7 linked regions of the Rattus norvegicus genome follow. The protein of the gene in region 1 purifies or fractionates together with the protein of each later gene. This does not show direct contact. Links are inferred from orthologs where the notes say so. Each region holds a gene or a part of one and is shown on either strand. Other genes may lie near its edges.

Region 1 (4,279 bases):
CATCAGACACCCAAATGTCCATTACCTGATGAATAAGCCAGCTGTACTATATCCACCCTACTTGTCAATATGCACTTGGGGACACCCAGGAGGGATTTGAAAGAGGGTGTCTGGGGGCCATGAAGAGAAGAAAGGAGGGGGAAAGGGATGGAATTCTATTTCAAGTAATAAAAAACAAAAACAAACAAAAACCCAAAATACCAAACTGTTAGCACTCAAGTAAACGGCAAACTCCATTCTAGGCAACAACCAGAGGACAGAGGACAGAGGACAGAGGCCAGCCAACACACACCTCCTTTTAGATAGAGGAAGAGGAGTAGATAAAACACAGCAGCAGCTGCCACGGGTGGGGAATGGGAAGAAATGAATGCCCTTCTTTACAGGGGATGCAAACAGTCAAAGTTTTCATTGAGGGACTGGCAAACAACTTATTTTAAGCCTATAGCCCCAATACTTACATGAGGGACAGCCTGGACTAACTACTATCCCCTGAGACTTTTTTTCATGTATATATGAATGCACTGTAGCTGTCTTGAGACACACCTCTGGACATCGGATCTCATTACAGATGGTTGTGAGCCACCATGTGGTTGCTGGGAATTGAACTCAGGACCTCTGGAAGAGCAGACCATGCTTTTAACTGCTGAGCCATCTTGCCAGCCCCACACTGAAACTCTTAAAAAATAAAAACTGACCTCCTCTTCCCCTAAAAGAATAAACCTATTGGAGCACATGTTACATGTCCCCAACACTGTATTCATATACTCAAACCCACCACGCATAGGCACATACTTAAAATGATAAAAATAAAAGTAAATCTTTAGGCAAGTGCAGCAGTACATAACGTTAATCCCAGCACCAAGAGGCAAAGGCAGGAGGATCTCTGTCAGACTGAGGTCGCCTGTGGTTCATAGTGAGTTCTAGAACAGCCAAAGCTACACAGTGAGCCCTGTCTAAACCAAACAAAAACAAACCTTACAATCAACTCACAAACTTAAGACAAAGAACAGACACACACATGTACCAAGCCATCACTGTAGGCCAGTGGTCCCTTACCCAGAATGCTCGGGGCCAGTAGTGTTTTGGATTTCAGATGTTTTTCTTCTGGATTTAATACTTGCTTATGCACGATGATGCATTTGGGGAACGAGGGTCAAGTCTAAACACAAAGCCAGTTCATATCCCATATACCCTGAACACAATTTGAGGGTTCTCATTACCCTATGTGGACATGCTATGTGGGTGGATGGGTGGGGTGCTTGTGTCACATCAAGAGTCTGGAGGTCAGAGAATGGTCTGGAGTCATTCCCCTGCCACCGTTTTGAGGGTTCTGAGGTTCGAACACAGGCTGCCAGCTTGCTGGGCCAGCGCTTTACCTACTGAGTCATCTGGCTGGCCCTAGCTCACCGTCACTTTATTCAATAGTTCTAGCATACATTGTGTTTTGTCTGAGGCCAGGCAGAGGAGGTCAGGTGTGGATTTTTTTTTTCTTCACGAGCTCACTAAGTCTTGAATTTGGGAATTTGGGGTTGGGAGTGATGGACTGTCACAGTTTCCTCTGGGTACTGCTGCTTACTTTTCTTCTTGTGCTTCCTGTAACTTACAGTACCCTCAGTTTGTATCAGGATAAAACAAGCCTCTTAGGTAACTTTTGAGTAACATGTAAGTAATTATATGCTCTATCATGAAACTAAAACATACACTATTTAGCGAACACTATTGTATAAAAACCATGACAGAAGAGTGTGCTTGAAACAGCAAAATGTACTTCTGACGACTTTAATTCCTGTTGCAGACACAACCCATCTTTAAATTACCGGAATCCGTCTGCAACCTATTTGCAACAATTAAACCACAAAGCAGTGTGTGTGTGTGTTGGGGAGGGCGGTGCGTTACAACACAGGGACCCTACTAGCAAATGGAGCCGTAATGAGCTTTATGTTTAACAACTGGCGTTCTGATAACATTGAAGACTGCTGGAGCCCTGTGCCTCTCAGCTCCAAACAGCTCCTTTCTTCTGGTGATGGGGAAACTTACACCTCCTAAGCAGCCTGGTCTAAGCCTCAACACACAGCACTAATCCAGGGCGGCGATCCACAGAAACACCTGCTGACCCAGGGCTTCGCGGCTTCCGCTAAGGAAGGCTCGGGCCGCAGCTCTCCCCCGGGCAGGCCTCCCTAGCGTCGGCCCCCGTGGCTGCGGGAGGAGGAAAACAGCCAGGTGCTCGCAGGCCCTCGCCGCCGCTCACCTGGTACAGTTCCTCCAGGTTGTACCTGATGGATGTGCTGCTCTGGATGGCCTTGACCGCTTCGTGAAGCTTCCGCCACGTGTCCTGAGTGTAGTTGTCAGGCAGCCGCGGCCTGTCTGTGGGGAGAGAGGGTCAACGGCCGCGCGGGGACAGGACAGGCCGGGGCACCGAGGCAGGGCCCGGCCGGGCCAGCCAGGAGGTGCGGGATCAGGGCCAGCTGGGGCGCGGGGACGTGGCGGAGCATGAGGTGCAGGGACATGTCAGGGTGCAGCGCCGAGACGGGACAGTGCGGGAACAAGGCGGGCTGGGGCGCGGGGACAGGGCCGGCCGGGCAGCCCCAGGAGGCCCTGTCCGAGCGCGCGACCTGCCGGCCGCCCCGTTCGCTCTTCACCGGAGCGCACCCACCTCGGAAGTTCTTGATGACCAGCTTCCTGGAGCCGCCCGTGCCTCCCGGTTTGGCGGGGCCACTGGCCAACGCCGCGGGCTTGGTGAGGCCGTTGGTGCGGCCCATGAGAGCCGAGACGCTGCCCTTCCGAGGGCCCTCGTCCGCCATGGCTGGGCCGGACGCCGCCCCGCCCCGCGCCGCCCGGCTCCTCCTCCTGCCCTGCGCCCCGTCCGTGCGCGCCTGGCTCCTCCTCCTCCTCCTGTCGGGCTCCGCCCGTGAGCGCTCGGCTCCTCCTCCTTCTGCTCGCGCCCGGGTCCGCGCGCCCGAGGGCCAACCGCCGCTGCGCGCACCGGAATGATCCGGCTCCGGTGCGCGGACTCCGCCCAAGGAGGGCTTGGGGACTCGCAGCAGACGTTCTACAACGAATGCTCGCGAGAGGGCGCCGTGACACCCGCGCCGAGTGCTCGGGAGCTCGCAGCCCGACGTCACATCGAGGGCCGGGACACCCCGGCGAAGACTTGAGTGGATGAAAGCACCCCACAACCTTGCCTCTGGGGCCACCTCACATCCTAGGGCTCAGGAACGCCCTGTGCGGTGGCACGTAGAGGGTGGGATGGGAGGCGGAATGCTCTACACCCATTGATCTGGGGTGCCCCAGTCAGGAGTATCTGTGGGAGGACTCAGGAAAACATCCCGCGAGGGCTAGGAGTGCGCGGGACGTCTTCCCAGTGCGATCTGGACTTTTGCTCTGTTTGCTCCAGGCTGTGAGAGCCAGGAGCACCTCTGCACACTGAGGGTTGGGGTGCGGGTCACCATAATCGGGGAAGGGGTGAGGGGTACGAGGAATCGGGTCACTAGCACACAGATGTGACCAGGGACGCAGGGACACGTTTCCAAGTCGGTTGGGATTCCTCCACGTTAGTCCCCGACCTCGCGCGCGCGCCCCCGCCGGACCTGTGGCGTCCCAGTGATTGCACTGACAGCTACCCAAAAGAAGTGCTCGAGCCAGCTCTGCTCGGCTTGCGCCACCCGCTCCGGAACCAAAGTGCGGAGGGTACAGTGTGGGGACAAGGAGGGTAGACGGACCTGCGCCGGAAGTGAGGCACTTAGCCCCCGCGGCTGCTGCTATGGCGCACATCACCATTAACCAGTACCTGCAGCAGGTGGGTTTCGCTTGGTGTCCTTGTCTACTAGCCACGGGGTGAGTCCTAGAACCGAGTCGGACAGTGCCTGGTGTCCTGCAGCTGGCCTCGAGGCGAGGAGGGTCTGCTACGTGCACTGAGCATCCTGCCTTGCTCAGAAGTTGCAGGTGCTTCCCGGTGGGACAGAGGAGGATTCGAGGTGGAGGTAGCAAGATCGGGGTCACTTGTGGAAACGGTTGTCTGTGTAGCACTGTCTGCACGAAGCACTTTGTGTCTTTAGGCAGCGGCGTCCATCAAGGCTTTGCTCACAGCCTGCCAATGGCACAGGCAAACAGTGTTGCATCTGGGCGGAGGGTTGTGTTTGCGTTTTCGACACAAACCTAGGGCAGAGGGCCTGTTAGGATGTTGAAGGTGTGAATCCCACTAGGCAACACACCTGGTGCATTGGACAGCCAGATGGGAAAGTCTGATGAACGTTCTAACTGGTTATACTGCTGCACATGG
Region 2 (4,055 bases), on another chromosome or scaffold:
TTCCCTCCTGTGGCCATAGAATTTCACTACATTCTCATGATTTAACATCTTATTGATGCAGATCTCTTTCTTAATATTTTCTGGGCAGTCTATGGCCCGCTTCATGTCTACAATTTTCACTGCAACAGCTTCTTCAGTTATTCTATTCACAGCAAGTTGAACTCTTAAAAAGAGAGAGAGAGAGAGAGAGAGAGAGAGAGTGAGTTACAACATTTTCACCTCAGAATTCCATTTCTCCTACATCTTCAAAAGATTAGTGACGCACACCTGTAATTCCAACCTTCTAGAGAGAGACAAAGGGGTCTAAGTTCAAGCCAGCCCAGCCTGGACTACAAAGAAACTTTCAAAGCAGGGAGTGATGATGTGTACAAGTCTTGGATCCCAGCACATGAGAAGCAGAGGCAAGGGCTGGAGAGATGGCTCAGCCGTTAATGGCTAGGCTCACAACCAAAAACCTAAGAGAAACAGAGGCAAGCAGAGCGCTTGGAGTGAGTTTGAGGCCAATGAGACTCTCTACAAACAAAACTGGGGAGGGGGGGAGGGGGGTGCATTGAGGGGTCACCTAGAACGATGGCTCAGCATTTCAGTGCACTTGCTTCAGACCTCAGTACAGTTTCCAGCACCCACGTGGTAGCTCATATAACCCATCTGTAATTCCCAGTTCTGGGGGAATCCCACACCTTCTGGCCCTCTGTCAGCCCTGAACACATGTAGTACACTAACATGCAGGCAAGCAAACACACATATTAAGAAAACACATAAATCTTAGGACGAAAAAAAAACTTCAAGAAATTAAATGTAACACATCCCGAACTATTCTTCCTTTCTTCATCAAGGAAAATGAAATGGCCTCTGCCATGGTCTCCCGAGCAATGAGACCAGAGATGAGTGCTTCAGTGAAGGCTCCAAGTCTTGGAAACATGGAAACCTGGTGTGTGTACTGATGAGGCTTTGAAAAACAGTAACAAGGCTGGATTACATCACATGTACACATGATCTGGCCCCACGGCAGCATTCCTTTCCCTTTATGAATCTCATGCATATATGCCTGAGCACCTCTGAGGTAAGAGCCACTAATTCTATCATCAGATGAAGAAACAAAGACACATAAAGCTCGCTCAGGAACACAAAACACAACTAGGATCCGCTGAGTGTGAGGGTCTCCAGTCAGGCTGGATGCCGCCAGGGTCTTTTCATTATCTCATTTAAAATTTTAAGACACGTGGTTTGTTAGGGAAATGATTTTCTTATAAAAGAAAAATTTAAAAAAAAAAAAAAAAACTGGATCGACTAACATGGGATTGTAATACCTACCTGGGAGGCTACAGTGTGCCACAAGTATAAGGCCAAAGCTGGGCAATTTAACAAGATTTTGATCTGAACAAAATCAAACGCAAAAAGAAATTTGTTGTTCGTTTGATAGGCCTAAAAATGTAGCTCGTCGCAGAGCATAGGCCCAGCATGTGTGGTGATGTGTGGTGATGTTCAATGTCCACTATGACAAAAGAGGAGGGACAAGTGTGGAGAAGTAACTTCACTCAGAGCCTTGATTTACAAATGCAAATATCCATGCTCTTTGCCACTTGGAATAAAGGATTTTTTTAAGTGTGTATTCAGACAAGAGATAGAAAACTAAAACAAGCAAAGAGGTAATATTTTAATAGGGATTGTGGAGATGGCTAGGCAGGTTAAGCCGCTTGCTGTCAGGCCTGATGATCAGAGTTCAGTCCTCTGAACCCTCAACAGAACCAGCAAGTGTCTTCTGACCTCCACAGGTACATCCATGGCAGAACGAACACACACACACACACACACACACACACACACACACACTAAAATGAGGGCTCAAACTTACTCTGCATAGGAACCTTCTCCCAAAGTTTGCACCAGATCCCAGTCTTCAACAAAAGTCAGGCGCGCACGCGCGCGCACACGTGCACACAGACACCCACACACACTAAAAAATTTAAATGAGGGCTCAAACTTACTCTCCATAGGCGCCTTCTCCCAAAGTTTGCACCAAATCCCAGTCTTCCACAAAAGGCACTGCCATGACTCCAAGCACAGCAACTGTAAAATGCAGGATTCCAGAAAATACGGGCGATGAGTGTAAATTCTCATCACCTGTAATGCCGTTGAGCCATGTCTCCTGCCATGATTCCGCACGACTTTGTTTTCCCTTTACATCTCATCCATATTTACCCAAATCATAAAGCTAAATTTAAACATTTTGCCCTGTATATCACAAATCCTGTTTCTACGATAGACCTCCGCCTTTATGCAAAACTGAACACTTGCTTAGCTGGAAGTAACTGCTAAACAAAACAAAACAAAAGCTTTCAGATGAATGACCCGGAAAGGGAGTTGGGGGCAGGACAGGGCAGGGCAGGGCAGGGTGCCGGGGTGGGGGACAGCTGGGTGTAACTAAGGGAATTACTTCCAGAGCAGCCCCTCCTCCCACCCGCTCACTTCCAATTCCCACCCCAACCGCACGTGTCCCCAGCACCGGGAGGGCACGGGGCGGGGCCAAGCCGCGGAGAGAAGCGGAAGGCAGGGACCCCCTAAAGCCGGAAAAGCATGCGAACCCCGGAGGCTTACAAAAAGCTCTGGTCCCTGTACGCTGGAGAGCCGCAGACCACCGGTTCCAGCCCGCACTCCGGGCGGCCCTCCCACCTCTCCGCTCATCTGGGCCACTCCCTCACCATGCCAGCCCGCACTAATCAAGCCCTCTGGGTACTTTGCTGGAGTTCTTTCCCACCGTTCAGGACGCCCTTCTCACCAAGCAGTCCTTTGCCAGCTGCCACAGGAATCCAAGTGCACAGCTTTTCCCGCCAAAACCTGCTTGCGTCATGCTGTCGCAAAAGCGCACACCTTTGCCGTAAAGTGGGCCGGCGCGCGTTGTCCTATCCCGAGCTCTACCGAGGAGCAATTTCGGTAGACTGACCGAGCAAGGGCCCCTCCTTCAAGTACTGGGCGTGCTTGGTTGGAGTTCTGATGCGGCCGCGGTAAGACACAGGCTAATGAGATTTGGTATTGACGACTGCTTTGGTGAGAAGTGATCTGAGTCCCAGAGTGAAATGGCATCGGGCGTGCACTATGCTGGACGCCTTACATTGGTACAGAAAGAATCCATCCAAACGGCGCATCGGTTGGGCCCAGGGCAAGAACCCGGGTTCCTTGCCGGTCAGAGCCTGCAAAGGCTGCACGGTTAACTACGTAAACCGATCTGCTCGTGACCTAGGAGGCCCTGGTAGGAAGGGTTTATGAGGCTCAAACCAAGCGCCACAAAGTGCTCTGTAAACACACAATTGTGGCCTCAGTATTCGAACTGAGAAGCTAGCAACTGCTATTGGAATTAATTCTAAAAAAAAAAAAAAAATGAAGGGAGCAAGAGTGGTGCATGCTTGTAAACCTAGAAATTGCTTGTTAACCTAGAATTTGGAAAGCATAAGCAAGAAAACTGAGTCTGAGGCAACCGAGCTATGCAGAGTTAGTCTTCTCAAACAAAAAAACGAAGGCAAAAAAAAAAAAAAAAATCCACATCGCCTCATAGTCCAGTGAGGGTCACCAATTTTGCCTGCACAGGCTCCAAACCGGCTAAATCTAACGTTATTTTTAGGAAGACTATTTGCCTGTACTAGCTTTCTTAAACGACTATGGTGGCCCATCACTCTAAGAAATGAGGCAGGAGATACTCAACCAAGATGCTCTCTTTCAGACACAAACAGCAAAGTAGACTTAATGGTGACTCATTTATAACCTCGGCCTAGGGAGGCTGAGGCATGGGAACTGCTTCAAGAAGCTGATCAGTCTGAACCAATGTGGGGGTAGAATATGAATGTATATATATTATACATGTTATCATATATATATATACACACACATATATATATACACACGTATATGATCCTTTCTAAACAAAAGTGATGAGTTAGGAAACACAATATTAGTTACTAGGCTAGACTTATGGTAGATGCTTGCCAGGCATGCAAAAGGCCCATAATAAAGTGTAAAATGTCAATTCTAAGGGAAAGGGCTTACATACACAAAATAAG
Region 3 (4,290 bases), on another chromosome or scaffold:
AAGTAGACGGTCTCTTTAGATCTCAAAGTTATACCTTAGACCAGAGGATCCGAGCTTCCCTCTAAACCAGTTTAGGAAACAAGTCCAAATCTTGAGCCAAATCATCGGACCTGACCCCAGGGAGAGTCAGAGACGAAAGCTGTGGGATAAGACAGCAGGACCTGGAGCGCTATGGGCAGACACAGCGGAGGTGAGCCACTCTCACCTGGGTTGTCCTCTTGGTCATAGTTATCTAAGTCGTACTCCGCCAGCTCATCGTCGTCCAGTGTACGGTCGTCTTGTGGATCCCCATCCTCCAGCGGCTCCGTAGGCCGGGCCTGGACCCGGGCTCTCTGCATGCCATCTTCTGAAGGACTGCCTACCTCCTCTTCCTCACTCCCACCCTCCTCTCTGAGTGAAACAGAGAGGAAAAAGACGTCACCCTGATGGCACCTCCTAACAACAGGCACATGACACAACTTCACCTGGACTTGACCACAGTCAGCAACACTTGGAAACTACTTGAAGTCACTTACTGTAACTTTTCTTTTGCTTCAGCAATGAGACGTTTCACTTCCTCTTTACTTAGCTCTACCTACGAGGGAGCAAACACTTCATTAGAGCATATTTACAGACATCATCGGAAGCCTTTGAACTGGGTCTTCAGGCAAATGTTAACTACAACCTCAAGAGCCATCAAGAAATCTCACACATTGATCTAGGCTCTAAATTTAAGGAGGCGGGGCTTGTATAAAGACCCCTCCCACCTAACGCTGTTCAGAGGTCATGTTCACTCTGCTCCTCTATCTTCCTCAATATTCAAATAGGCTGGCTTTTGGAAAATGGATCTGTGGTGGCCATTTTTCTTCCAACTACCCCAGACTCCAAGGGCGCCTCCCTCTCTTGCCAGCGGTCACCTATTAACAAACCACATAACATTGGTCCTCTGCTTTTTCCCCAACATCCCTGCCAAATGTAAATAGACTCAGGGAAACAGTTACCCGCCAACTTCCCCCAATCTTGAATTCCAGCTCTATTTTCCCAACTTCCAGTAACATTTCCCACTTGTTTATCTTTTGTTCTAATGGAGTTCAAAAACTAAGGCTATTCTTTTCAAAACTGGCATCCCCTCACCTAAACAGCTACTCAGTGCCTTTAACACACCTAAGGGCCAGGCGGTAGTGGAGGCAGAGGCTGGCGTATCTTTGTGAGTTCCAGTCCTGCCGGGCCTACAGAGTGAGCCCTATCTGGAGAAAAGAAAAGACCCTAACACTATGACATTAAGCTTGGAAAGGCCAACACTGGTTTGGTATTGTTTATCTACTGAAGCCCACAGTGTGGGTTGGCCATAATGGCAAAGCTCCAGGACTGAAGGTGAATCAATTGCTCCAGATCCTCAGTAGCTCACACCTCTGACTCCAGTATTTAGGAAGCTGAAGCAGGAGGATTGCCATAAGTCTGAGGCCACCGTGGGCTACAGAATGACACCCGGTCTCCAAAACAACAACAAAGGATTCTGTGATACAAGAATTTTCCTGAGAATGACATTCAATTCTGCCTGAGAAAGATCCAGAAATTAAAGATTGAAAAACACTGGGAAGGGGGGGGGGGTCAGTCAGTAAAGTGTTTGTTGAGCACGCATAAGGACCTAAGTTCCATCCCAGAATCCACTTAAAAGCTAGGTGTAGTGTAGAGCACACCTATAATCTCAGCCCTGAGGACTACAGAGACAGAATTCCTGGTGCTTTGGCTAACCACTCTATCACAGTTAGCTAGCTCTGGGTTCAGTCAGACAGAGCACAAACACACAAACACATGAACATGGGCATACACGCATACACACACAAAGTATTTGTATTGCTTGGGGTTGGCACATGAGAACTAGGGATTTTTAAGACTCTCCTAATTCTTCGAAAGCTGTATATGTCCCCTTAAAAATAAAAACAATTTCCTTTTGGAGAAATTTTAATGAGGTAATTTGTTGTCCCTATCCTATAAATATATACTGATTATTTGCTGTTGGCAAAACACCAAAGAAAAACAGTGGCTAAACACTATCTGTACTCTAGCGGAATTTACACCTCTAAGTATTTCCATCCCTCATCGCATGTAAATTCATGTCTAGGCCACCCCGTGTCTATCACAGCAACCTCTTCACTTCTTTCAGGACACTTACACCTCTCCCCGCCCCCCGCCATCCCGAAAGTCAAGTGCAAAAAACCAGGGCTTTGCCCTATTTCGCTCCAACATATCCCGGTACTCTAGGCTCCGCTTCGCTTGCAGAAAACACTTAGTGTAATGAATAAAACCGGTTGAGTAACCGCCTCCTTTGCCACAGTCTCCAGCTTTTGTATGACTTCCTTCATAATGTGTCACACTGACACCTTGTTCCCTCTGCCCCAGAACGTTTTATCTGGATCACCGTAAGAAACTCCTAACAAGCAAGCACCCCCGCCCCTTCCCACTGCACAAAGTCCACGTGCTCGCGCATCTAGGGGGTGGGACCAGGGTTCCAGCTCCTGACAGGAAGGAGCGCGTTGTCTCTACTCGCCCTGCGCAACAGAGCCACACTCCGTGGCTACGCCACACGTGGTTACAGGCCGGCCAACCTTAGCAGGTCCCATCCAGTGGCTCAAGCCCGGCGCGTGTGTCCCCAGACGGGGCGGAGCCCGCGGGCATCCGGAGGCGACTCCCCACACACACGCCTCACCTTGTCTGGCGTCTCTTTGGCCACGCCGCGGCGGACCCAGGCCACGCAGGTCACTTGGCGGCTGCGGTTCATGATGTTCCGCTTGAACCCAGCGCGAACAAGACACCTGGTCGCTGGGAGAGACTATGAGCTCCACGTAGAGGAACAACGCGCAGGCGCGGGCGCCTGCCTGACGTCATTAGCAGGCGCCAAGGGAAAGGGGCGGGGAACTTGCAGGAGGTGGGCGAGGCCGCATGCAAATATGACCCTGGACAGTGGCTTCTTGGAGACAAAGGAAGAACTTGGAACTCTAAAGTTCTTGGGACTCTAGAGTTAAAATCCTGTACCACCACTCCATTTTCCGCGTAGTTCCATGGACTAAGAGATGACAAGTGGAAGGGGTTGGGGATTTGGCTCAGTGGTAGAGTGCTTGCCTAGCAAGCGCAAGGCCCTGGGTTCGGTCCCCAGCTCCGAAAAAAAGAAAAGAAAAGAAAAAAAAAAAAAGAGATGACAAGTGGAGACATCTGTGGGAGGTTTATCTTAACCTTTAGATTAAATGTAGTTTTTAAAGGAGTTTCCATATATATATGGATTTATTTATTTAATGTATACGAGCACATTGTAGCTGTCTTAAGACACACCAGAAGAGGACATCGGATCCCATTACAGATGGTTGTGAGCCACCATGTGGTTGCTGGGAATTGAACTCAGGACCTCTGGAAGAGCAGTCAGTGCTCTTAACCACTGAGCCATCTCTCCAGCCCCCTTATATTTCTTTATTTTTCTTTTTTAATTTTTAAAATTCACTTTACGTCCGGCTCACTGCTTCCCTCCCGGGCACCTCCTCCCCCAATCCTCCCCCCCCTTTCTCTGGGTGGGTAGGGCCCCCTTGGTTAGACTCCCCCCTACCCGCTGGCACTTCAAGTTACTGCGAGGCTGGGCACTTCCTCTCCCACTGAGGCCAGACAAGGCAGCCCCGCTAGAAGAACATATCCCGCATACAGGCAACAGCTTTTGTGATAGCCCGGTTCCAGTTGTTTGGGACCTACATGAAGAACAAGCTGCCCATCTGATACATATGGGGAGGGGCGCCTAGGTCCAGCCTGTATGTTCTTTGGTTGGTGGTTCAGACTGCGAGAACCCAAAGGGTTCAGGTTAGTTGACTCTGAGTTCCTATCCGCTTTGGGACCCACAATCCTTCCTCCTAGTCTTCCGTAAGAGTCTTCAAGCTCTATCTACTGTTTGGCTGTGGGTGTCTGTGTCTGAGTCAGCTGCTGGGTGAAGCCTCTCAGAGGACAATATACTCCTGTCTGCAAGCATAACAGAGTATCATTAATAGTGTCAAGGACTGGTGCTTGCCCATGGGATGGGTCTCAAGTTGGGATGGTTATTGGTTGGCCATTCCCTCAGCCTCTGCTCCCGTCCTCATGCCTGCATTACTTGTAGATAGGATAAATTTTGGATTGAAAGTTTTGTGAGTGGGTTTGCTGTCTCTGTCACTCCACTGGGGTTCTGTTCTGGATATAGGAGGTAGCCTCTTCAGGTCCCATATCCCCAATGCTGTGAGTCACAGCTAAGGTCACCCCCATTGATTCTTTGGGGCACTTCCCTTATCCCAGGCC
Region 4 (4,220 bases), on another chromosome or scaffold:
AGCTATGCAACAGAAGTGCGTCCTCCGCTCTGACCTCACTCAGGGAGAGCTGAAGCAGAGCTCAGCTGTTACTCTGCAAAGGCAGCAGTGGCCATGAGTCCAGGTGGACAAGCAGGTGTGGCCCAGGAAAGAGAGGGATACATGCTGTCACCGGGAGAGTCCAAAGATGACAGAACCATGAGGCCTCTGTGCCCAGGTCTGGGAGACGGGCTGTAATCAATACGTCCATTTGCACACGCCACTCATGCCACTGCTCAAATTCAAGCCTGGGCAGTAAACTGGGGAGACACTTACTTCCTGCTCTCCTCAGACAGGGCGGACAGGCAGAGCTGACTGCCAGGGGATCACTCCACACACCTGGCACAGCACAGACAGAGGCACAAGGTCTGGGCCACACTGTCCCATGATCCAAATTACCCATGGCACAAAACTGCCCACCGCAGAGGAAAACTCAGATTAAGCCTGGCACCCAATGCTGGCAGACTTACCGTTAAAAAAGTCCGCATGAACTGCCTTTTCATTGGCTGCCAAGTCCATCAGGAGCCCGGTGCTACCTCCAGCCTGGAGAATGAGAGGGAAGGTCATTCTGTGTGCTTGTTTTCCAAGAGCAGGTGGTGGCTTCCTTAGCACACCCATCCCACCTCCCTGGAACAGAACACTGAGTGACAAGAAGAATGCTCAAGATGGGAGCCAGAATTTCCCGGACAAAGAAAGTAGTGTGAATGGGGAAGCCAAGCAAATGATTTTAAAGCTCTCTCAAGGTCCTCAGTTTTCCTTGGCATGGCCTCCTGTGGTACTCTCCTGCCGGAGTCTTCAGTCCCCTCCTAGACAATGCCAGAGGGCACAGAAGTACACCAGCAAGCTGGACATCTGCCCTAGAGGCTCCCTTCTCTCTGAGATTGCAGCCATTCCCCTTGGGAAGCTGCTTGTCCCAGCGCTGAGGTCTGGGGTACTGCTCTTTGGGAGAAGCCTCCAGGACTGCCACCAATGGTGGTGCTAAAACCTGACCACACCCAATCTGTGAGATATGAACACTCTTTGTGCTCTTTGGTCACCCAGAACGGTGGACGCAGAGACCTGTGGTTGCAGCACACTGGACGGCTGGCTCTGGCCTTTTTCTGCCTGGGCCTCATCTTTCGAGGGCTCCTGGTTCAACTTTCCCTGGAGTGACAAGTACTTGAGCATCTCCTGTATTCCCTTTCGAGTCTTCTTTCTGCCTCTGTCCCCAGCCCCATTACTGGACAAAGCCATACAGATTGCCTCTAAAGTCCTGGCTGAGCCCTCCTCCTGCCTCCACTGCCTCAGTCACAATTTCTTTAAGGTTTCGTCCTTCCTGTTTCCATTGCTTTACCATCTCCCTATAAACCGAAGCTCCCACCTCTCCAAAGGACCAACCCCCATGGGAAGCCAGGCTTCCTCATCGGGATGCCCTCACATCACCTGCTGCAAGGCTGAGGGGCTAAGGCTGAATGCAATTGCCTCATCAGGGGATCACAGAGCCCATACATTCACTCTCTGGGCATTACTATGTAGATCTGCTTGTTCCCACCCCTCTGTGTTCAACTATGTACTGCCCGTTTTGTGTGTCCACTTGACACAAGCTAGAGTCATCAGAGAAGAAGAGCTCAGTTGAGGAAACACTTCCATGAGATCCAGCTGTAAGACGTTTTCTCAATTAGTGATCAATGAAGGAGAGGCCAGCCCATTGTGGGTGGTGCCATCCCTGGGCTGGTGGTCCTGGGTTCTATAAGAAAGCAAGCTGAGCAAGCCACTAAGCAGCACCCCACCCCCATGGTCTTTGCGTCAGCTCCTGCTTCCAGGTTCTGGCCCTGCTTGAGTTCCTGTCCTGCCTTCCTCCAATGATGTGAAAGTGTACACCAAATGAATCCTTCCCTCCCCAGCTTCCTTTTTGGTCATAGTTTTTGGTCACAGCAATAGAAACCCTAAGACAAACTACTTGGCATCCCCTTCCCTTAGCGGGCCAGGGAGCATCGCTCTTCCAAAGCTCTGCTACTTTGGCTCTCGTCATCCATACCCCAATGTCAACAGAACACATTTTTCAATATTTGAATCAGGAGAAGCTCCTCTCTTAAGCCTAATCTGAGCCAACCAAAACCCCATGGACACGTCTGTATGGCACCCCCATCCCACCCTTGCTATTATACTTAGAAATTGCAGTCGGCCTCTTGGGGCCACACCTAACATCTCTCAGGTCCCGGGATGCATTCGCGCACCTCCCTACTCGCTGAGCTTTGAGGAGCAGGAAGCTGACATACACGAGCTAGCTGACACTCCTGATCATAACCACCTCACTGAAACACCTGTATCAGATAAATATCTGTGACCATGGTATAAATCAAAAGCACAAGATCGCTCCAAAAGTCTGTGTGTCTACACGAAATAACCGAGTCCCAGCACAAAGCACACAGTTGCCACACACTATCCCTTGCCCTTCTCTCAGGGCTTGGTGGCTAGAGGCCAGTCAGTGCGTAAACCTCGCTCGGGCCTTCTCTCTCCGGAATATTTATGAGGAGCCACAATCAAGTAATAGAGAACAGACCCTACTTCCTCGCTGCAATTCATGTAACAGTCTTGGACCCTGCGACCGTCCCCGCCCGCTCCCGCTTCCCCAGTCTCTGGCAGATTTTGAGTCCCCGAAGGCCTGGGCTCCCACGCAGGTTTGTAGGCGTGCTCCCACCCCCAAGCATCGCTCCGCGCCGCCACCACCCCACCTCATCCAAGTCTACATAGGGCCCCGCGCCCTCGGGAAACATCTCATCCACAGCTGGTTTCATCTCGAGACTGGCGGCGTTGCGCTCACTTCCGGCCAGCCCCTTCTACTTCCGGCGGCGTTCCTCCGAGCAGGTCTAGGCCCCGGAGGACCGCGCCTCGGTGGCACCCCGCTAGCCTGGCTGCTGAGCTGCTCTCTGAGAAGACTAGGTCAACAGATTATGCGTTAAGGACCAAAAACACCACATGAGCACTGCACGAGTGGTCGGAGAAAGGAGACTATCCATTTCCCAGCAGGGTTGCAGTTCAAAACCGTCAGAATGACTACTGTACAGAAATCACAGGCTGTAATGGATTGGCTAGAAGGTGGGGGTATTGAATCTTTAGGTACTGTAGAGGTAGCAGAAATCCAAAAGTAGTACGTGCGCAGTGGCCGCTCTCAGAGTCACCTCGGCCAAGATGAAGAAGCAGCCCAGTGCATGCAGACAAGATGGGCTTTATCTACAAGGTGGGAGAGTGTGAAATCTTAAAACTTTAAGTAGGGATTCCTAGCCTATGGGCATGGACGAGCCTTGAGGATGTTGTTAAGTGAAATATAAACAAACGCTGTGTACCACTCATGTGAGGTCTCTAGAGCAGTCAGACTCATAAGTGCCGCAGTATTGGGGATGGCAGTTGTTCAGAGTTCTAGAGGTGTGTGGTGGGGTTGGGGGGAAGGTGTCCCCTGAGAAGAGGCAAGGCTGATACATTTTAGAGTGTCATATTGTACCATGGTTTTTAAAGAATGAAGAAAGAAGAGAGGAGGAAGGGACAGAGAGGTGTGGATCTTTGTAGGAGAGGGCCTAAGCTATTCTGACAGTCTAGATTACTCTAATGAGGCTCCTGGATGTTCCCCTAGGATCCTCTGTGCACCTCCTGGTAAAATCCAGGTTTAACAAGTATCTCTGTGAAGTCACTGTAGCAAGAAGCCTGAAATGCAACCGATACCTGCCTTTTCTCCATATCTGATAGGGCTCCTCACCCTCCACTATCCCGGGCAGTGTCTTCTGATCATGCCTTCAGCAAAGCATCTGTGTTACTCCTGAGTTTTTATTTCCCATCTACCCCAACCCTGCTCCTTGACTGTCAGTCCCTGTTGCTACTGTGGTTGAGCAGAGCCTCTCTCCAGCGATACAAGACTATTGCTCCTCCTGCCCCGATGGTTTTGAATGTTTTCCCTTTCTCTGCTTTCAAAGCAATTGGGAACTGTTGGTTGGTTGGGTTGGATTGGGTGATTTTGTTTTTTGTTTGTTTTTTTTTGTTTGTTTTTTTGTTTTTTTGGTTTTGTTTTGTTTTCCTTTAACAACTTCGAGGCTTCAGGGACTTGGGGGGGGGGTGTGGGCTGCTAGAGTGAGAACGGGGGTCAAGGGTAAGGACTGACTCAGCCAATGGGAATTGAGCCTGGTCACTCCTACCCTTGAAGCCCAAGTGAACTGTGCAGGATGTGTAAG
Region 5 (3,536 bases), on another chromosome or scaffold:
TAATGAAATCAGCAATGAACAATAAAAAAGGCTCCAGCAAGAGGATGCTCCAAGATGGCATCAGCTTGTGAGTGGACATCAGAAGTGTAGTACAGACTACACACTTAGAACTGTTGAAGTGACTATAATTTAATACCCTAAGACAGGTATCATATTGGGCCATCACTAAGCTTGAGGCAAGGATGATGATTCTCTGGCTAATAGAAATCCGAAAGAGCTTTTAGAGCTAAGAGTCATTCCAGAGGCACAAGTTAACATTGTCAGAGATACATGAAAGTCATCACACCTCAGTGGAAAGCTGTGAGTCAGCTTCTGGAGAATGGCTTCACCTCCTGTCTCTGAAAGCATACTTAGACCAGAAACACCTGCCCCTCCGTGGCTCAGATGCTTTCAACCAAAAAACCTTACCTGAACTTGAAGTAGTTCTTCTTGCTCTCAGAATGGGATAGCTGCCTACTTCTAAAGACTTAGTCAAGTCCAGATCATGCAAAATCAAGAGATATCCAGAGGACGTTGAGATCAACATTTTGGAACAATCTGGTGTTAATCTCATTCGCATAAGAAAACGTGTATGAAAGAATTTTTTGTGTGGACACCCATCTTCTGTGCACCTACAGAAATCAGACCAACAAACCCAGTGTTACCACAAATATACCAACTCCCAGTACCAGTCAAACTATTTTATTCTTAAAGAACTGAGAGCCACACACATATTTTATATTTTACAATGCTTTTTAGCCCTGGCTGTCCTGGAACTCAACTTTATAGACAAGAGATTAAACTCAGGTTGCAGGGTTGGTAGCAAGTACCTTTACCCACTGAGCCATCTTGGCAGCCCATAAAACATAGTTAGTCTTTATAAATGAAGAGCTGTGACTCATTACCCAGAGGTTGAACAGTATTAGCCAGTTAAAGGCTTCATCCTACTAGATCTTAATTTTGCTTCAAGCATTCAAGTTTATATCTAAGAGAACATGGGTAAATGGTTACTATGTTTTATTCTCCCTGTGTTGTCTCTCTATCCCCCAATCTTCCTATGTAGTATGCGTCCTCCGTCAGGTTTTTCTCAGTTGTCTGACTATCATTGTGTGCTTGCTCATTTAGGTGAGAGCAAGGAATTCAAGCTGAATGGGAACTCTTGAGTACAAGGAGGATGAAGCCATTTCTGAAGAGCCCCTTAGTGCTAATATCTGTGAGGTGACTACTGAAAGAAGCTAAAACTGTATGAATTTTACTACTCAGCCCCTTGGTTTTGGCAGAGCAGTGAAGCCTCCAACTGTTTCTGGCATCCTTCAAGATGGCAGTATTTTCTATATTACATCTTTACAGAGTTAGGAACTTCTGGGAAAATGATCTACTGCCCACTGGACGGGGTGAAGAGTAGAGCTAAAGTTCTTAAATATCTCTCACTCAAGTCTCCTCTAGCTACTACTTTCCCTCTGCGACTGAGGATTTCGGTTTGTTTTCAATTGCTTGTGTTTATATGTGTGCATGTGTACATGACATGTGACCAGGTGCCTGGAGAGGCCAGACGATGGCATTGGATCCCCTCAAGCTGGAATTACAGGAGGGAGGCTTTAAACCATCTGATACAGGGGCTGGGAACTGAACTTGGGTCTTCTGGAAGAGCAGTGAGTGCCATAAACTCTAAATCACCTCTCTCTACCAGGAATTAGCTTTCTAAACATCTGGAGTGAAGCTGCCTGAAGTCAGTTGCCATTCATCTGCCTGACTGCCAGCTTCTAAACTTTTATTATCAAGTTTCTTCTTTTTTCCTGTCTTTTTAAGTTTATGTCTAATCTCTGGTCCTTACCCGCACTTTGGTTTTTGTGACAGGATCTCATTATGTAACCTCGACTGACCTGAAACTTCTTATGTAGGCCAAGTTGGAAGAGAATTTATTGAGATTCTCCTGCTTCTGAGATTACTGTAGTTTTTGAGTCTTTTTTTATCGATTTTATTTAAATCTTGTAAAGACTTAAATGTAGGTCCCATAATTACTATCAAGGTTATATATTTTCTTTAAAATTACATACTTTAGCTATATGTGGAAGCCCACCTGTAGTTCAGTCCTTAAGAGAGTATTCATATTTGTGAATACTTTAAGTCTATATATGAAACACACATATACACGTTATTTCAAAAGTACTTGTCTATTCCTATAATCTGAACTTTGGGAGAAAGATAACAAGTTCAAGGATAAATTAGCTACAAAGTGAGATTTGTCTCACAATAAGAAAAGAAACAAACCTTTTAACTATTGGTTAGGATACACTCACAACAAAATAGGAACATGATTGATTTGTACATTATCTTACACATATTAACCTTTATTTACTTTTAATTATAACATTGTATTAAATTGCATATTGTGCATACTTCTGGTATACAATATTTTTCTTTTTCTTTTTTTGTGGTGCTAGGAATCAAACCTAGGGCTTGTACATGCTAACCCTGTACTCTACCACTAAGCTAACACTCCTAGCTGGCAACAAGTTTTGAAATATGCATTACTTTATTTACATTCAGGAATTTTACTTTTTTCTTTTTTTAAGATTTATTTATTTTATATATGCGAATACACTGATGCTGTCTTCAGACACACCAGAAGAGGGCATCAGATTCCACTACAAATGGTTGTGAGCCACCATGTGGTTGCTGGGAATTGAACTCAGGACCTCTAGAAGAGCAGCCAGTGCTCTTAACTGCTGAGCTGTCTCTCCAACCCCTGTACTTTTTGTCTTTTTTGGTTGTAAGACAGTCTCTCTACATAGCCCAGGCTGTTCTGGACTCATTGTGTAAACCGGGTAGGCCTTGGCCTCTCAAGTGCTAGGATTAAAGGCCTGTACTACCATGCCCAGAAGATACGCTACCTTTTGTTAACCTATTTACCACTTGACAGAAATCATATCGGCTCTACTTTTGGAGGCAATTATGAAGAATATTACTGTAAACATTCATGTACAAGTCTCTGTGTGTGCACATAAATGTTCACTTTCATGAGTAGACATACCCACGAGGTAAAATTGCTGTGTCATAGACTAACTATGGTTAATATCTTATAAAGTTGGCAAACTGAACCAGGTGTGGTAGTGCACACCTTTAATACCAGCTCTGGAGGCAGAAGCAGGCAGATCTCTTTGAGTTAGGGGCCAGCTTTTCTACATAGAGAGCTCCAGAACAGCCAGGACTATGTAGAGAGATCCTGTCTCAAGAAAACAAAACAACAAACAAAAACAAACAATCATGAAATAAAAACAAGCTAGCAAACTATTAATTCCAGTAGTAAGAATTCTAATAATGATGCTTCTAATAATGAGTTCTAGTTTCCCACTTTGTCACTGTTATTAATAATATTGAGCCTTTTCATCCATAAGCATGTAGTAGCTATTCATTTCTTTCAGCACTGTTCTAGCTTAAAAATCATACACATGGGCTGGAGAGATGGCTCAGCGGTTAAGAGCACTGATTGCTCTTCCAGAAGTCCTGAGTTCAAATCCCAGCAACCACATGGTGGCTCACAACCATCTGTAATG
Region 6 (3,536 bases), on another chromosome or scaffold:
CCAAATTATCCTCAGGGTCAAAGGGCTTGCTGGGTAACTCTATATATTCTACATTCCTGAGTCCCTTAGCCCTCAGTACCTACAGAGAGCCCACTGCTGGCAACCCAGGACCAACCCTGAGCAATGTGCACTTGGAACAACCAGAACAGGTCTGTTTCTGACCAAACTCCTTAGGCTCAAGATGAGGAATCAATGCATGGGGCTGGGAGGATTCCGCCCCTGCCCTCCACCCTCCTGGTCCCTCCACCCTACCTCCAGAAGGCCTCGCTTCAGCAGGAACATCTGGTCTGCATAGGACGTAGTCCCTCGGAGAAAACTTTCCACAGCCCGGGCTTGCCAAAACCTATGACCAAAATGTTGAACCCTGGCCCAGGTGGCTTTGGCTGTCCTCCCCTGGTGCAGGCTCAATGGCCCCAGGGTCAGAGCGGTTTGCAGCCAAGTATCTGATATTTACTTAACATTTTCCAGTCTGGGTACCAGCCCTAGGTCTTGAGGACACAGCAATGAACAAGAGAACCGCCATTCTCGTATATGGTGTTCACAGCTCAGCAGGGACCAGTCTTTCATGTAGCTATACCAGAATGGGTTTCTGTGGTATATGGGCATACACAGTTGCATCTGGGCTCAGAGAGTAGCCGCTAATAAGTTCCATGTAAAACCACTCTAGGCTTTCCACTCTCAGAATATTGGAAGGACATGGACCTAGAAGCCAGGGATGTGTGGCCAGCAGAAGGGTATGCGTGGAGATGTCACTGAGTTCATATGCATTGAGCTCTCTAGGAAGAGCCAACAGACACTGAGTGGCCCAGAGGCTCAGCTGGGATCCCTGAAGGAGGGTCTGAATAGGTAAGGCTGAGATGACAGGGGACCTTGTAGGGACAGAGCCTTGTAGCCAGGCCAGCTGGAATCCCCTTGTCTAAACCTCCCAATCCCACCCCTGCCCACCTAGGTGGCCAGGAGCTCTGCAGCCTCCTCCTTGGTGCTTAGCCACCTAGCGGATGGCTTCTGGGGTGGTTCCTGGCTCTATTTCTTCCCATACTGCACTGAAGCAGGTTTCTTTCTTTTCATGCTTATTTCCCATGATCCCAAGTAGTCACGCAGGCATAGCCTGGATCCTATTTGTGCTCCACCTCTCTAGTGCCAGCTTGATGCATGCTCAGTCACCTCCTAGCATACTCTGCTGGCATGTGACAAGGATACACACACTTACCAGCCGAGTCCCATGGAGTCAGTGGCCACCTAACCCCTTACCCTTGGGAACCCCCTGGCTCCTAGAGGTCTCACGGGTCCATCTGCTCCTTACTCACCTGAATGAAGACTCTGCTGGCTCCTTCTTCATGACCTGCAGCAGCCGAGTTAGTAAGCCCCTCTTGCCGTCACACACCAGACTCCTGAAATCAAAGGGATAGACAGAGCTGGTGACAGATCTCAATGGCTGATGGGCCACTGAGCTAGTCCTGTGTGGGTGTGGAGCTGAACGAGCGGGTAATGTCTGAGTCTGTGAGGATGCTCTCTTGCTCCACTGTGTGCTGGGACCTCAGACTGTGCCGTTGTCAGCTCCATAGCCAAGTGCACTTCTGCACCTTAGGCCACGTTTCCCTCCTCAGACTGGCAAGAGGCAGAGGCACGCCCAGGGCCAGATGGGGCTCCGGACTTCCAGGAGAAGGGCCACTTACATCACAAACGGGTTTAATCCAGGCTACAGCAGAGTATGCCAGATAGAATAACATCTGTGCCAATCGGTAGGGCCCAGAGTTTTTTCCTGCCCCAGGTCAGTTCCAGCTCAGCTGTGAGCTTCTAGGCCTCAGTTTCCTGTCTGAGGCAGAGGCAGTAGTAGGTGAGAAAGGGATTAGGCCTGTCATGGTGGCAGGTGTCTGGGCCCTTAGACTCTGTCCGCACAGCAGCTCCACTTCCATCCCTGTAGACTCTGGGCAGGTCCATCTTATCAGGAGGAGGTGGGGGTTGTGACTCTAGTTGCTAGATCAGGTTCACACTTCATAAGCCCCCGAGAGGCTGGCATGTCACTGTGCTGATCCCAAAGATGAGGCAGACATAGGGCAAGGGGTGAAGGGGCTGCTTCTTCTTACCCTGCTTGGCACAGCTGCCACTGGGCAGGAACTGAGGATACCAGTAAAGGGGCCATTAGCATGGGACAAGGTGGAAGGGCAGAGTACAGCTGACCTTTGGCAGGGGCCAGATGACACCTCTGTCATCTACATGTAGATGGGAAGATGACGATGGCACTTCCTTTTGAGGGCTGCTGTGATGCTCAGTTAGGAAATGCAGGAGATGTGAGTATCTAGCACACAAAGCCATGGTGAGTGGCAGTTATGTGTGTGCCTTGGGAGCCCTGCATCCACGGCTGTCTCCCACCAGGATCACCTGTCAGTGTTGAGGACGGCTTCCACCTCAGGGATGTTGGCTTTCAGAGAGATGGCACTGAGTTCATTTAGCTCCTGGTTGTTGAGCAGCAGGTACTTGTTCCTGAAACAAACGGGTCAGAGGTAAAGGGCAGGACTGGGGCCGCTCTGCGGCTCTGCCGCGGGGCAGAGAGTTCCATCCGCCTCTGCCCACTCCTGCTGGGAGGAGCTGAGGGTCCACCAGCACTACTGCGCATGCTTGTCACTCACTAGAGCCCTTCCTCCGCATCTCCAGGTCTGTGTGGTACACCGAACGTTTCTATATGACTTTTCAAAGTCACCTGCACCTCAGCACGTCCAATATCGTCTCCGTCTTAGCCCTGAGCCTAGCTCTGCTGCATTCTCAGTGGCCAGGGTCACAGACACAGAGGCCTGACCCACTCTGACACCTCTCCTCTTTCACCCAGGCTTGTTATTACAGTCTGTGCAGCACAGAAGACTTCCTCAGCTGTTTCTCACAGGAAGGGAACCTTCACCCAGCTCCTTGAGTGAGTTTTTGAACAGGCCTTGGACAATGTCATTATAGAAATGCTTGCCCTAGTTCTCACGCTTCTGTTAACACCCAGGGAGTGACTGTGTCTTCAAGGCCCTGTGCGGCCATGCCATCTCTGTGGCTACAACAAACTGAGCAGCTCACACCTGCCACACCATCTGGCCACCTTGGTTTTCATGACCATGCCATGTCCTCCTACAGGCCTTCTCTTTGTGGGGGCCTTCTGGCTAGAACACTCTCATGCTGCCTCTTCATCCCATTCAGGCCTCTGCCCAAAAACAGCTTCTGCAATATCACTGAGCACCGCCAGCCAGTCAGGACACTTGGCAACTGTCCTTTCACAGAGTGTGCTCTTCTGTGCCCATACACCATGCCTATCTGTCAGCAGGCATTCTGCAACTGGTGACCTTCTCTATGGTAAACTTCCTCTCCCAAATGTATCCTACATGACAGCAGGGGCCATAGTATTTTCATGGAACCAGGTACACAGAAGTGCCAACTGAGAGTTTGATGAAAGCTAGGACAGGAATACACACACACACACACACACACACACACACACACACAGAGAGAGAGAGAGAGAGAGAGAGAGAGAGAGAGAGAGAGAGAGAGAGAATCAGTAC
Region 7 (4,287 bases), on another chromosome or scaffold:
GTTCCAACAAGAGAGTGGAAGGAAACTTAGACGGGGCTTTGTTTGACTCCGTGTAGCGACAACAAGAGAAACAAAACTACCTATTTGTAACGGACGTGGTGCTGTGGCTCTGGGCTTTTTGAGCGCCTGCCGATTGAAATCTTTACGTCTGGACAATGGGAGATCGGCTAAAATTACCCTCTCGGGTCCTGGGCGGGCAAGATTCTTGAGCCCCTACCTCCGCCCCCAGCCCATTCTCCCACAGCCTGGGCTTGCTCGGTCCCGGCTCCTCGGGTTCGGCCGGCCTTCCCTCTGCGCACGCCGCCTGCACCTGCACCTCTGGACCCCGCGCGTTTCCCAGGCCCCGGCGCCTCTCGGCCGGGCCTTCGCGACTACCACTGTGCCAATCAGCAGGGGCAATGCGGGCTGCGCTGCCCCATCCTGGGAACGCTGCGTGGGAGGGAGTTTGTGAGCGCAGCCTAAATGCCACCTCCGTGCCTCGCGGTGGGATGCCAGGAAGTTGCGTGACCCTCCCCCATCCTCTGCCCTCTGGAGCTTCTTTCTGTTGATTCTTTCGTCCCCTAGCTCTCATCTGAAATTGCCATCACTGAAATCCTCTTGTGTCGGGGTTGGGGGTTAGAAAGAGAGGGAGGAGTGAGTTCAAGCTTTGCGTTTGCACCCTTTAGATGGGACAGATTGGTGGAGGAGGGAGTTAGGGTTCAGGACACGTGCTGTGGTTCCTTGAGCCACACCTGAGTCGGCCTAGAAGAAGGCTGTGTACAGGGCCTGGCCCTAGCTCTACAGTCAGCCATATGGGCAGAGGACTCCTGTTTGGGAACCCAGCCGATGACGCGGAAGCCAGGAGGGCGCTGAGGCCTGGGTCTAACTTCTGGTCTGTTCTGTGAGAAAAGGGGGTGAGTGGGTGTTGGCAACAAGGTTGGAAGAGGGGCTGGGACAGAGAGCAGTGCCGCGGATGAGCGGAGGAACAATGGCACACCACCTCCGGCCCTGCCAGCTTCCTGAAATACTAGTTGGACGGTCGCCCCGAACCACCCATGGGCCTCGCCCCACCCTGGCCCCAGCTTTCCGCGCCCCATCCACCCTTATGTACCCAAGAGAGAGCCAATATTCCGTAGCATGGGGGAAAGGAGCTGTCGTCTTGGTGCTGTTTACCCACTTCCTTCGAACAGGCGTGCCGCCGTGACCTGTTGCTGAGAACGGGGGGGATACAAAGGTTCCCCCGCGGCGGGCTGCAGGCTGCGGGCCCGCCTCCCCCGCGCGGTTCGGGGCACAGCGCTCCGCTGCGCTCGGCTCGGCGGCGCGGCAGGCCCCGCCCCCTTTCATGCAAAACCCTCTGGCGAGGCTGGGCTCCGGCGCAGGAGCCGGCGCTCGCTGATTGGCCGCCGGAAACCCATTTATTCCCTGACAGCCCCCATCACATGGATGGTTGTCTATTAACTTGTTCAAAAAAGTATCAGGAGTTGTCAAGGCAGAGAAGAGAGTGTTTGCAAAAAGGGAAAAGTACTTTGCTGCCTCTTTAAGACTAGGGCTGGGAGAAAGAAGAGGAGAGAAAAAGAAAGGAGAGAAGTTTGGAGCCCGAGGCTTAAGCCTTTCCAAAAACTAATCACAACAATCGCGGCGGCCCGAGGAGGAGAGCGACTGTTTTTTCATCCCAATTGCACTTCGCCCGTCTCGAGCTCCGCTTCCCCCCAACTATTCTCCGCCAGATCTCCGCGCAAGGCCGTGCACGCCGACGACCCCGCCCGCGGCCCCTGCATCCCGGCCCCCGCGCGCGGCCCCCGCAGTCCCGGCCGGGCCGAGGGTCGGCGGCCGCCGGCGGGCCGCGCCCGCGCCCAGCGCCCGCATGTATAACATGATGGAGACGGAGCTGAAGCCGCCGGGCCCTCAGCAAGCTTCGGGGGGCGGCGGCGGAGGAGGCAACGCCACGGCGGCGGCGACCGGCGGCAACCAGAAGAACAGCCCGGACCGCGTCAAGAGGCCCATGAATGCCTTCATGGTGTGGTCCCGGGGGCAGCGGCGTAAGATGGCCCAGGAGAACCCCAAGATGCACAACTCGGAGATCAGCAAGCGCCTGGGCGCCGAGTGGAAACTTTTGTCGGAGACCGAGAAGCGGCCGTTCATCGACGAGGCCAAGCGGCTGCGCGCTCTGCACATGAAGGAGCACCCGGATTATAAATACCGGCCGCGGCGGAAAACCAAGACGCTCATGAAGAAGGATAAGTACACGCTTCCCGGAGGCTTGCTGGCCCCCGGCGGGAACAGCATGGCGAGCGGGGTTGGGGTGGGCGCCGGCCTGGGTGCGGGCGTGAACCAGCGCATGGACAGCTACGCGCACATGAACGGCTGGAGCAACGGCAGCTACAGCATGATGCAGGAGCAGCTGGGCTACCCGCAGCACCCGGGCCTCAACGCTCACGGCGCGGCACAGATGCAGCCGATGCACCGCTACGACGTCAGCGCCCTGCAGTACAACTCCATGACCAGCTCGCAGACCTACATGAACGGCTCGCCCACCTACAGCATGTCCTACTCGCAGCAGGGCACCCCCGGTATGGCGCTGGGCTCCATGGGCTCTGTGGTCAAGTCCGAGGCCAGTTCCAGCCCCCCCGTGGTTACCTCTTCCTCCCACTCCAGGGCGCCCTGCCAGGCCGGGGACCTCCGGGACATGATCAGCATGTACCTCCCCGGCGCCGAGGTGCCGGAGCCCGCTGCGCCCAGTAGACTGCACATGGCCCAGCACTACCAGAGCGGCCCGGTGCCCGGCACGGCCATTAACGGCACACTGCCCCTGTCGCACATGTGAGGGCCGGACCGCGAACTGGAGAAGGGGAGAGATTTTTCAAAAAGATACAAGGGAATTGGGAGGGGTGCAAAAGAGGAGAGTAAGAAAAATCTGAATGCTCAAAAGGAAAAAAAAAATCTCATTACCCGCAGCAAAATGACAGCTGCGGAAAAAAACCACCAATCCCATCCAAATTAACGCAAAAACCGTGATGCCGACTAGAAAACTTTTATGAGAGATCTTGGGACTTCTTTTTGGGGGACTATTTTTGTACAGAGAAAACCTGAGGGCGGCGGGGAGGGCGGGGGAATTGGACCATGTATAGATCTGGAGGAAAAAAACTACGCAAAACTTTTTTTTAAAGTTCTAGTGGTACGTTAGGCGCTTCGCAGGGAGTTCTCAAAAGTCTTTACCAGTAATATTTAGAACTAGACTCCGGGCGATGAAAAAAGTTTTAATATTTGCAAGCAACTTTTGTACAGTATTTATCGAGATAAACATGGCAATCAAATGTCCATTGTTTATAAGCTGAGAATTTGCCAATATTTTTCGAGGAAAGGGTTCTTGCTGGGTTTTGATTCTGCAGCTTAAATTAAGGACCGTTACAGACAAGGAAGGAATTTATTCGGATTTGAACGTTTTAGTTTTAAAATTGTACAAAAGGAAAACATGAGAGCAAGTACTGGCAAGACCATTTTCGTGGTCTTGTTTAGGGCAAACGTTCTAGATTGTACTAAATTTTTAACTTACTGTTAAAGGCAAAAAAAAAATGTCCATGCAGGTTGATATCGTTGGTAATTTATAATAGCTTTTGTTCAATCCCACCCTTTTCATTTTGTTCACATAAAAATATGGAAATTACTGTGTTTGAAATATTTTCTTATGGTTTGTAATATTTCTGTAAATTGTGATATTTTAAGGTTTTTTCCCCCTTTTATTTTCCGTAGTTGTATTTTAAAAGATTCGGCTGTTATTGGAACCAGGCTGCCGAGAATCCATGTATATATTTGAACTAATACCATCCTTATAACAGTTACGTTTCCAACTTAAGTTTTTACTCCATTATGCACAGTTTGAGATAAATAAATTTTTGAAATATGGACACTGAAATTATGCCTGAGTCTTTCATTTCTTTGGCTAGCATGCTTGTACATAACTTCTTGGGGGATTGGATAACTGTTCAGCCACCAAGATCTTGGTGTTACCAGCAATGTCTGTTAGCATTAACTGCAGAAGAAAAAAAAATGGCTGGATGATTAAAAACGGGAAACTGAAATGCGCTGACATTTCTAGAATAGAAACTAGAAGCATATATTGTAAGTCCACCCCCTCCTTTCCTGAGCAGCGTGAATAAGCGCGATGTGGGCTTAAGCTCTCTTGTAGCACTTGTTGCCAGAACGAGACGATTCTGAAATTTTTCGTGTAGCTTAGTAGATGGGGTACTGAGCCAAATCAGAACCAGGTTGGCTGGGTTGGTTTTCATTTTCTTCACAACACAATGGCCC

The links.
Region 2: the proteins of Cul4a (region 1) and Chek1 purify together in Homo sapiens (affinity purification with western blotting; 4 studies listed by BioGRID). This does not show direct contact. The link is inferred for Rattus norvegicus from reciprocal best matches to the Homo sapiens genes CUL4A and CHEK1.
Region 3: the proteins of Cul4a (region 1) and Pwp1 purify together in Homo sapiens (affinity purification with western blotting; 6 studies listed by BioGRID and IntAct, with this or other methods). This does not show direct contact. The link is inferred for Rattus norvegicus from reciprocal best matches to the Homo sapiens genes CUL4A and PWP1.
Region 4: the proteins of Cul4a (region 1) and Cops9 purify together in Homo sapiens (affinity purification with mass spectrometry; 3 studies listed by BioGRID and IntAct, with this or other methods). This does not show direct contact. The link is inferred for Rattus norvegicus from reciprocal best matches to the Homo sapiens genes CUL4A and COPS9.
Region 5: the proteins of Cul4a (region 1) and Dcaf10 purify together in Homo sapiens (affinity purification with mass spectrometry; 4 studies listed by BioGRID and IntAct, with this or other methods). This does not show direct contact. The link is inferred for Rattus norvegicus from reciprocal best matches to the Homo sapiens genes CUL4A and DCAF10.
Region 6: the proteins of Cul4a (region 1) and Trpc4ap purify together in Homo sapiens (affinity purification with mass spectrometry; 7 studies listed by BioGRID and IntAct, counting the BioPlex papers as one, with this or other methods). This does not show direct contact. The link is inferred for Rattus norvegicus from reciprocal best matches to the Homo sapiens genes CUL4A and TRPC4AP.
Region 7: the proteins of Cul4a (region 1) and Sox2 purify together in Homo sapiens (affinity purification with western blotting; 3 studies listed by BioGRID, with this or other methods). This does not show direct contact. The link is inferred for Rattus norvegicus from reciprocal best matches to the Homo sapiens genes CUL4A and SOX2.

Annotation. Positions count from the first base shown.
Region 1 is NC_086034.1:83,121,640-83,125,918, forward strand, and holds the start of Cul4a (cullin-4A), read right to left. Parts: upstream 2,819-4,279; 5' UTR 2,802-2,818; coding exon 2,654-2,801; intron 2,365-2,653; coding exon 2,249-2,364; intron 1-2,248. Other genes in the region: Pcid2 (PCI domain-containing protein 2), read left to right, coding at 3,761-3,796. UniProt on the Homo sapiens protein: Core component of multiple cullin-RING-based E3 ubiquitin-protein ligase complexes which mediate the ubiquitination of target proteins. As a scaffold protein may contribute to catalysis through positioning of the substrate and the ubiquitin-conjugating enzyme.
Region 2 is NC_086026.1:44,627,040-44,631,094, forward strand, and holds the start of Chek1 (serine/threonine-protein kinase Chk1), read right to left. Parts: upstream 2,805-4,055; 5' UTR 2,780-2,804; exon of another isoform or gene 2,599-2,779; intron 2,582-2,598; exon of another isoform or gene 2,071-2,581; 5' UTR 2,054-2,070; coding exon 1,989-2,053; intron 164-1,988; coding exon 1-163. UniProt on the Homo sapiens protein: Serine/threonine-protein kinase which is required for checkpoint-mediated cell cycle arrest and activation of DNA repair in response to the presence of DNA damage or unreplicated DNA.
Region 3 is NC_086025.1:19,883,644-19,887,933, forward strand, and holds the start of Pwp1 (periodic tryptophan protein 1 homolog), read right to left. Parts: upstream 2,821-4,290; 5' UTR 2,762-2,820; coding exon 2,690-2,761; intron 575-2,689; coding exon 516-574; intron 391-515; coding exon 206-390; intron 1-205.
Region 4 is NC_086027.1:100,659,397-100,663,616, forward strand, and holds the start of Cops9 (COP9 signalosome complex subunit 9), read right to left. Parts: upstream 2,811-4,220; 5' UTR 2,796-2,810; coding exon 2,733-2,795; intron 562-2,732; coding exon 489-561; intron 1-488.
Region 5 is NC_086023.1:64,430,980-64,434,515, reverse strand, and holds part of Dcaf10 (DDB1- and CUL4-associated factor 10), read right to left. Parts: intron 612-3,536; coding exon 409-611; intron 1-408. UniProt on the Homo sapiens protein: May function as a substrate receptor for CUL4-DDB1 E3 ubiquitin-protein ligase complex.
Region 6 is NC_086021.1:164,587,090-164,590,625, forward strand, and holds part of Trpc4ap (short transient receptor potential channel 4-associated protein), read right to left. Parts: intron 2,485-3,536; coding exon 2,383-2,484; intron 1,392-2,382; coding exon 1,308-1,391; intron 344-1,307; coding exon 253-343; intron 1-252. UniProt on the Homo sapiens protein: Substrate-recognition component of a DCX (DDB1-CUL4-X-box) E3 ubiquitin-protein ligase complex required for cell cycle control.
Region 7 is NC_086020.1:119,463,651-119,467,937, forward strand, and holds Sox2 (transcription factor SOX-2), read left to right. Parts: upstream 1-1,480; 5' UTR 1,481-1,843; coding exon 1,844-2,803; 3' UTR 2,804-3,892; downstream 3,893-4,287. UniProt on the Homo sapiens protein: Transcription factor that forms a trimeric complex with OCT4 on DNA and controls the expression of a number of genes involved in embryonic development such as YES1, FGF4, UTF1 and ZFP206. Binds to the proximal enhancer region of NANOG.